Linked DNA regions of Oryzias latipes. The protein of the gene in region 2 purifies or fractionates together with the protein of the main gene of each other region. This does not show direct contact. Links are inferred from orthologs where the notes say so. Each region holds a gene or a part of one and is shown on either strand. Other genes may lie near its edges. The genes, in order: dhx9 and ewsr1.

What was found.
Region 1: the proteins of ewsr1 (region 2) and dhx9 purify together in Homo sapiens (affinity purification with mass spectrometry; 3 studies listed by BioGRID, with this or other methods). This does not show direct contact. The link is inferred for Oryzias latipes from reciprocal best matches to the Homo sapiens genes EWSR1 and DHX9.

What each region holds. Positions count from the first base shown.
Region 1 is NC_019875.2:12,671,595-12,675,837, forward strand, and holds the start of dhx9 (ATP-dependent RNA helicase A), read right to left. Parts: upstream 3,038-4,243; 5' UTR 2,940-3,037; intron 2,430-2,939; 5' UTR 2,359-2,429; coding exon 2,248-2,358; intron 2,178-2,247; coding exon 2,037-2,177; intron 1,809-2,036; coding exon 1,703-1,808; intron 1,631-1,702; coding exon 1,476-1,630; intron 1,303-1,475; coding exon 1,154-1,302; intron 694-1,153; exon of another isoform or gene 634-693; intron 548-633; coding exon 501-547; intron 86-500; coding exon 1-85. UniProt on the Homo sapiens protein: Multifunctional ATP-dependent nucleic acid helicase that unwinds DNA and RNA in a 3' to 5' direction and that plays important roles in many processes, such as DNA replication, transcriptional activation, post-transcriptional RNA regulation, mRNA translation and RNA-mediated gene silencing.
Region 2 is NC_019867.2:12,693,728-12,698,109, forward strand, and holds the start of ewsr1 (RNA-binding protein EWS), read right to left. Parts: upstream 2,816-4,382; 5' UTR 2,766-2,815; coding exon 2,750-2,765; intron 2,294-2,749; coding exon 2,254-2,293; intron 2,095-2,253; coding exon 2,043-2,094; intron 1,405-2,042; coding exon 1,275-1,404; intron 1,127-1,274; coding exon 925-1,126; intron 778-924; coding exon 521-777; intron 405-520; coding exon 245-404; intron 1-244. UniProt on the Homo sapiens protein: Binds to ssRNA containing the consensus sequence 5'-AGGUAA-3'. Might normally function as a transcriptional repressor. EWS-fusion-proteins (EFPS) may play a role in the tumorigenic process.

The DNA.
Region 1 (4,243 bases), on a different chromosome or scaffold from region 2:
AGGTGGTACAGCTGTCGCACCAACGACAGCGCGCACGACTGCGCTGCCAGCTTCTTGTTAGATCCGTGTTCGCGGGCCGTGATCTCTGTAAACAACACAGCACAAAAGGGGCGGAGTCATCTCTGACATCACCCGTAGGATTCTGCACAGCAGTAACGAATCAAAATCGATTGGTTTTTGTTGCATCCACCTCAACAGGGTTGAAGGCACAATGGGGCGGGAGAAAGTAAACTATTCCTATTTGAGGGGTGATTCGTTTGTTTCATATTTATTAAAAGAATTGGTTTCTGCCGGTATTAGTCTTTTGTCATTTAGTTTTAAGAAAAATTTCAAAATGCTAAAAAATACAAGCTTTCTGATACTTAAAACACAAGAGAAAAGGTTTTCTATTTGTTAAGGAAAGCACCAATTTCTATTTACTGGCTCTGCTAAAATAAGCGTAAAGAATCTCAGCACAGAACCGTCTCTGTGGTCTCATGTACAGACATGTCAAAACTTACTTCTGCCGAGCTTCCTCACGAACAGCTGCATCTCTGCTATGAAGCTCCTGCAGACAAATAACATGGCAGAGTTACATCCCGTGCCTTTCAAAGTAAAAGCCTAAAGCCAAGCATCCCTCAGGAGCAGACTCACCTGATGTGTCCTCAGAAAGAAACCTGGGCGTTTTTCTGCCAGACTTTCAGGTTTTAAAGCCTACAATGAAGAGCAACACCACAAATCACGACCAGAGACCACGGAGCTGCACCCATGGGGGGGCTTTAGAGAACCTAAACGCCATCCCCATGTATTTCCTCAGCGTGGTCGTGAGTTCTAGTGTCGCTCTGCAGGCTTTGAGTTGAGCATGTGGCTGTGAGGGCTCTCCGGTGTAGCCGGCACACGCAGGAGCTCTCTGGGTTTGCAGCAGTCCGGCAGAAAAACACACAGGTGCTACCAGTGAGCGGCGGGCCCAGGAGTGTGGCCCCTTTCAGAGGAAACATTTACCAACCCGAGAAGCTGCAGCTTTTTAATTAGAGTTCATTTGTCAATACCCCACTCTCCCACCCCCACCTGACAGATCTGAACAGCAGAAAAGACCAGATCCAGACTGACGAGAGACCTGGGCTCGTCAGGCTGGATCTGGTCAGACGGCTTGTAGGGGAGCGCTGATCCAGACCTGTTGTGATCGGGTCCCACTTGGCTGTACGTGTACTCGGAGGTGATCTTCTCCTGCTGGAAGAACCGGTTGAGACGGGCCTTGGCGTTCTCCAGGGTCCAGTTTCCGTGCAAGTTTGCATTCAGGTCTACCTCCTCGGATTCCAGCGTCTACAACAGGAGAGCCGCATTAGTGGGACCGGTACTAAGGCAGAGCAGTCCCACCTGTTATGAAGCCGCCTAATGTTGTCACAGTCATGTGACTGCAACATGTGACAACACAGCTCAAAAGGACCGGGATCTTCTTGAAAAGCAGCTTCATGGCACATAGCTGGCTCCAGTACCGCTTGAGCCTCCTGCTCATCCCTCCGGGCGTAGTACTCCTTCAGGTTGGCTCCTCTGTCCCACTCAGCCCCTCCTCCTCCTCCCCCATTGCCACCTCTAGGAGGGAACCCTTGTTCAGTCTGTCCTGGAGGTGCATTGATGAAGGCATCAGCCTCTGAAAACAGAAACCACAGGATGAAGAGGACTGAAGTCAGGGAGCAGCAGGTTAGGTGTGTTCGGCTCAAACCTTTCTCCACCTTCACCACCAGGTGGGGGGGCAGCGGCCCGCTGGCTGGGAGGGTTCCGAAGCTTCCCGGAGGTCCTTCGGGCTGGTTGGGTTCTGGAGCCACGGCCTGGGTAGAACAACAAAAGGCCGTCAGTTCCGGTTAAGTGTTCGCTGCCCACTGGTAAACTTTTGACTAATCCTTGCAGTCTCCCAGTCTTTATGGATCTTGACTTTCTAAATGGTTTTCTGTTCTGGCCTGAACATAGCTGGATGCTCTATTGATTGGAAAGATGTTCCTCTGGTTTGCTTTGTTTTTACATCTCCTTTAAAAAAGCGTAAAAAAAAGCTTTCTGACCCCCAGAGCTGGAACCTCTTCAGCCTTCATCTCCCCGACTCGGACCAGATAGTTGACAAAGTCCCTGGCGGCGTTGGTCTGAGCATCCTTCTTGCTGGTGGAGTTTCCCATCCCCACATAGGTGAAGCCATCCACCCGCACCTTCAGGAGCAAACAGAGACGTTACGGGAGAGTCTGGTTACAAACCAGCTGGCTGTGAATGCAGACCGACCTCACACATGAACTTCTGCCGGTTTTTGTTGCCCGCCGCCCGGATTTCGTAGTTGGGAGTCAGCTTTTTCTTTCCACACCAGGCGTACAGGAAATTCTTGATGTCCGCCATAGTGGCGAGCTTCCAGCTCCGCGTGGGCTTTACCTGCGAGCTTCAGGTGTGCCCTGGTCCCTTAGTGTTGCCTGTAAAACACAGAGGTGGCTCTGAACAACCGCAGAATCACTGGCAGGCGTCACATCAAAACATACAGTGTTGTTCAGGAAGCTACAGTAAACCGCTGCCTGCGTGCGTGTCGTAAAAGAAACCCTAAACAGAAAAACATATGTGCGCCGACACACACACAGGGAGAAACGATAACAACACTAACGTTACTAAGTCACGGGGGAAATGTTTGACCGTTTTTATACTTCAGCTAGCCACGTGCAGCTCCTATCATCAAGCAATAATGTGATCCTCCATGCAATATTTTTCCCCAATTGATCCCACATTGAATCATCAGTTGCAACTGAGACAACTACAACGAAAATGCTAGTATGCTAACGTTAGCTTCATTCATCAACCGGTGTAAACGTTGACAGACGCATTGAGGCTAAACTAACTAACGCCAGTAAGACACGAAGTACGTATGCAAAATAAATATTAAAAAAGCAAACATTTTCATTCTAACATCAACGACTACATTCAACACCTACCGTCCGCTCAGTCAAGTCTGCAGTGCAGATTCCTGCAAAGCGGCAACAGCGGAAGCTTTGAACTCTTCTACCGCGCAACAGCGCCACCCTCTGTTCTGGAGGTGAAATGAACTGTTAGCTCCTGGCAGTGAGTTGATCCTTTTTTATCAACGCCCCTCTGCATGATGATTTTTTTTATTCTACTGGGATGAGAACTAGATTTCTGTCTTTTGTCACTCTAGTTGGTTTCCTTTACTCAAATTACATTGTGGTTAACATCAACCCATTGTCCACAAGGATTATAAGTGGCCACTGTGTCATAAACATTCATAAAATCAGTGTAAGTTTTTGTTGTTGTTGCTGTAATCAAATTTAAATTATTAAAATTATTCCAACCCTGCGAGAGACTGGCGACCTGTCCAGGGTGCCCCCTGCCTTCGCCCACAAGTGGCCGAGATAGGTTCTGGCAGCCCCGTGACCCCGAAAGGGAGCAAACGGAAGAAGATGAATGAATGAATGAATGAATGAATGAATGAATGAATTAACGAATGAATGAATGAATAAATGAATGAATGAATGAACGAACGAATGAATGAATGAACAAATGAATGAACGAACGAATGAATGAATGAATGAATGAATGAATGAAAGAACGAATGAATGAATGAACAAATGAATGAACGAATGAATGAATGAACGAACGAATGAATGAATGAACAAATGAATGAACGAACGAATGAATGAATGAATAAATGAATAAATGAAAATTTTTCACAATTTCTCCTTCATGAATTCAATTCAGCATTTATGTAAGTTCCATAAACAATCAGAAGTTCAAATTTCGAGTAACAACTATGGAAATATTAATCTTGCTTCTGTGTGATTCATATTTGGAGCACGAAATATGGACTCCAAATGTAAATTATATTTTAAATCAAGTCAACAAAAACCTTTTATTTTGTTACGTGGGATGTTCCATTGTTTTTCTCACGAATAAATTTTGTTTTAACAAATCAGTTTATTTTTATAAAACAAAAATCTTCAAATGACCAAATCCTTGTCTAATTTCTAAACTTCTCATCTGATTTTAATTTAAGAAAAAACCAGATCTCTCTTATAAAATGACATAGCTGTAACATGACCTGCATTGTAAGGTTTATTAGCTTAAAACCATAGATTTTTATTTCATTTTTATTTTTTCAGTGTCAACCGAAGATTTAATCTACAGAATCTACAGAAAATCTGTCCTGTTTATAGTCCTGATAAAACCAATAGTATGAAATAGAATTGCACATTTTTGCTGCTCTTTGTTTACTGCTGTAGAC
Region 2 (4,382 bases):
GCTACCGAATCGAGATAGCAACATATCCAACAAGCAGGATACAGCTCTCTGAAACTGAGATTCAACACCCCGGTACTCAAACAAAAGTCAATTTCAGTAACAGCGTACAAATAACTCAATGCTGCATTGTATCTACAAGAAAGTTAATTGCAAATGTCTGAAATGACTTGTCTCAGCCCTGCCTCAAATGGTTACAGCACCTGCAGAGGCAAAACAATGGAAGACACTAAGGAAGCACACTTACCCCATTCCACGCCCCATGCCTCCGCGACCACGATGCATCATGCCACCACGGTCAAAGCCGTCCCTGCCAGGACCTCTGCTGTCCCCTGGGCCTGAGTACCTTCCGGGCTCAGAGCCAGGATAACCAGAACTTCCACCCTGACCATCCTGCCTGTAGCTACCTATGAAGGAACAACACAAACATCAGATCACACCATGTAGGGTGAGCACAGAGCCAAACCAAATTGTTCTTTAGCTCCATTTTATATATGGAGTTAAAGCACAACATAAAACGTACTGTAATGGCTGGACTGGTTGTAACTAGGTGGTCCACCTTGTGTGTTGTACTGACTGGCTGGAGGCTGACCATAAGAACCAGCAGTTTGAGGAGGGTAGGCAGGTGGAGCTTGTTGTTGAGTTGTCTGCTGCTGGTAACCCTGCTGCTGGTTGTAACCTGCTTGTTGACCCTGGTAACCAGCCTGCTGTTGTCCATATGACGCAGGTTGTGAGTAGCTGCTCTGGCTGTAACTAGCTGGTTGATTGCTAGCATTGTAACTATAGAGACAAAATAAATAAGGGGTCTGTTTTGATCATGATCACAGAGACATTACATCATCCTTATGAGTCGTGTATTATAACTTCAAGTCAACTGAAGAATTTACATGGTGTGATTATTTTTTCTTCCTAAGGAGGCACATTTACCTCTGCGGTGCAGCTGGAGCTGCCTGTTGACCATAACCAGTGTAGGCGGACTGGGCGGTGTAGCCTGGCTGGGAGCCATACGACTGGGATGCGGCTGGAGCGGTAGCTGCAGCTGGAGTACTATCATACCCGCTGGCTCCATAGCCTTGAGTTGACTGCGAATAGCCATGAGCTGTAGACTGAGCAGCGGGATAGCCTGCAGCTGGGGAGAAATAAGTTTCATGCTAAATGCAGGCACCAGTTTGAAGCAAACTTTAAAAGCAGAAGCAAATATCATGTATTCATTTAGACTGTTATCAATCCATCAGTCTTAATAAATCCAAATGGGATCACTGATGAGAAAAACCTACCTGATGCTTGTTGTCCATAGGAGGAGCTATACTGCTGTTGCTGCTGAGGGTATCCTGCAGCTGCAGGGGTCGCCTGGGTGTAGCTGCTGTCTGCAGCAGCTGCAGCAGGCTGGGTGTATGATCCATAATTCTGTTGACCATAACTTTGCTGTTAGAACAGAGCCTACTTTAGCTGCTAGGCAAGCACATGCAACCAGGAACTACCTACATTTATAAATATAAATTATATGAATATCACATAAAATAAATTAAACTTAATTAAAGTCTTTGCGTTTGATATGCATTCATTTAAAAAAGAGATGTTGGATTTTGGCCACAGGATAATTTCAATATGCCGTCTCCTGGGAGGTAAATGTTACTGAAGAAACAAAAACTGATTTTAAGAAGAACCTACACGTTGAAAATTGAATATAAAACAGAGGTAAAAGAAAACACAAAATATAAACAGTATAAATCTTAACTTTATATATTTTTCTAAATCAATGTCTAGTCATAAAATGTTCTGGTTACTGTCATTTGTGATTAAAAATTGGAGGGACTAAACCACGAAGGACCTTAGAAAAACCGATTTGAAAGATTCAAAACCTAGAATTTTATATTTGTTAAGAATGTGACTGATGATGGCAGGAACGGTGATTCTTGTCCAGCAGTTTTATTGCTCTTTTATAGCAAGATTCAACGGGTTTAAGAACAGAGGAGCCAGCATATGACCAAATAGTGATACAGTAGTTTTCACACATCATCAAACTGCTGTTTTACAAATCTCACCTGTGCTGTTTGTCCATAACTCTGTGATGGCTGGGTGCCATAAGAGGCATACCTGCAAAAGAAATATCCAAAAAAGACTTCCAAAGCTGTTCTGTAATTTGACATGGGTATCAACCAATTTAACTTTATTTCCTGGCTGTTGTTGACTGAAGAGCTTCTAATTTAATAATTCTTTTTAATTTTTATTGGTATAAAACAAAGTAATGCTTACCCTGGTTGAGCACTGGCCTGACTGTAGGAACTGTAATCTGCTTATAAACAAAAGATAAAAAAAATACTTTAAATTAAAATGCGACGAAACATCGACGTTTCGTTTGCGCGCCATTAAGCTAGCACGTTACGGGCCAATTGAGTCACAATTCAATGCTAATGCTATGCCTGTTAGCTAAAGATAAGGACACACTACATGAACAATGTTCAATGAATGATTGAGTTCTTTAAGCATGAGGATGTACGATAAATATAAAAATTATCAAAAAACAAGGTTACAGACTGAAAACGGCAAAAATGGTTGAAGCTCACGAAACAACAAGGCCTACCACAAAGCCGCTTGCACCGTCCACGCCACGGCACATTTTTAAACAATCCACATAAACGCTAAATACTACAAAATACCCACATGCAAAACCATTAAATAACAAATACAGATTAATTCCAAAGAATAATAAATGTAAATATCGTGACTTTGGTAAAAATTTTGCGTTTACCGGGAGCTGACGCCATTTTAGCTTGCCTGTGAAAGACCGAATGGACGCTGCACTCTGGGTAAAAAGAAAAAAACGTTTGTCTCCCATTTGAAAACCAGTGTATTCTCGCGAGACTTGAAGACGACCCATAATTTTAATAGAATTTTAAATAAAGTTTAATACTCACGTCATTATTGGCAATTGCTTTTTAATTCATAGCATCTGTAATCTTTTTGTAATACATGTACCATCCCCTGACATTGTTGTTGTTATGACTATTGTTCCTGTCATACATACTTGTTCTATTTGTGTTGAATAATAAAGTTTATTAAAAAAAAAGTATTGTAATGAAAGTTGAGTTCAGCTGTTAAGCGGTCTGTACTTTTTTGCATCAAACAGGCTTGCTATGCCTTTAATTAATAGTCTACTCTATAGTTTTAAAATTAGGCAGATCATCTGTCAGACCACACAGTTTAAGCACTATAAATCTTATTTATTTATCCATTACAACATCAGAATTTATTCATATCATTATATGGAAAATATTATTATTAAATATTTTTTTTAAAAACTCCACACGTGAGCCAGTTTACCACAGTGGGATCTTCATATTTTGTTTCTTTTATTTTAAATACAATTTCATGTCTTCTCAAAAAACACTACTATGTGACAAAACTTTGTTGTTGTTGTTGTTATATAACAAACAATCACGGCATGTTTGTCAATGACAACAATATCAATGCTGAGATAAAGGTAGACAAAAAACAAATATGAAAACAAATGTAACTTAAAAAATAATAATAAATAAAAATAAGGGGCTTTTGCAAAAGTTTAAATAAATCAATGAATTATACAATGTCAATTCTATGATTCATGTAATGTAAAGATTTAAAGAATAATTTGAGACGGTTTAGTAATCCATTAATGTGAGGTTTCACCTTTAAGGATTTACAAGTATGTATAATATGCTTCGAAATTACAACCAGTATATAAATCAGAAAGTCCAGATTTTAAAGGGTTAATGATGATATTTATTGATTTGAGCCAAATATGAAAAAAAGAAGACCAAAACTCTTTTACATGCAAACATTCAAAGAAAAAATGTTCCACCGTTTCTACATCCTTTCCACAAAAGACACAAAGATCACCATCCCAGTTAAAGCGAGAATGTAAAAAAATGATTGGAAGAGTATATATCATTTAATATTTTAAAGTTCACATCTTTTGTTTTGTGAGGGATAGGATATGATAGATATAATGTTCATATCCTTTTAGCTTCTGTGGTGCTGTAATTCTTCAAAATATATTTTCTTTTAAACGTGAAGGGTAATATGAATTATTTAAAATCTCTCGAAAAAATTTGTTTGTTAATTTTTTGTCTCCCAATCATAGGCCTTCCACATAGAGTTGCAGCATTATTTGTTGAGCTATAGTTTTAGTGGGGACTGGAATAAAAACTAATAAAAGATGTGTGCACATCCTGCTTGAGCATTGCATCCGGTAGGTGGCGGTAAAGGGAATTTCTAACATTGTAACCAACAAAATCTAAAAAAGTAGAAGAAGATTTGCGGAAGTTGAAATTACCACAATTTTATTTTCAGTTTACCTTTTAAAAAAGGGAAACAATATATGGATTAACTGCTCAGGGATGTTT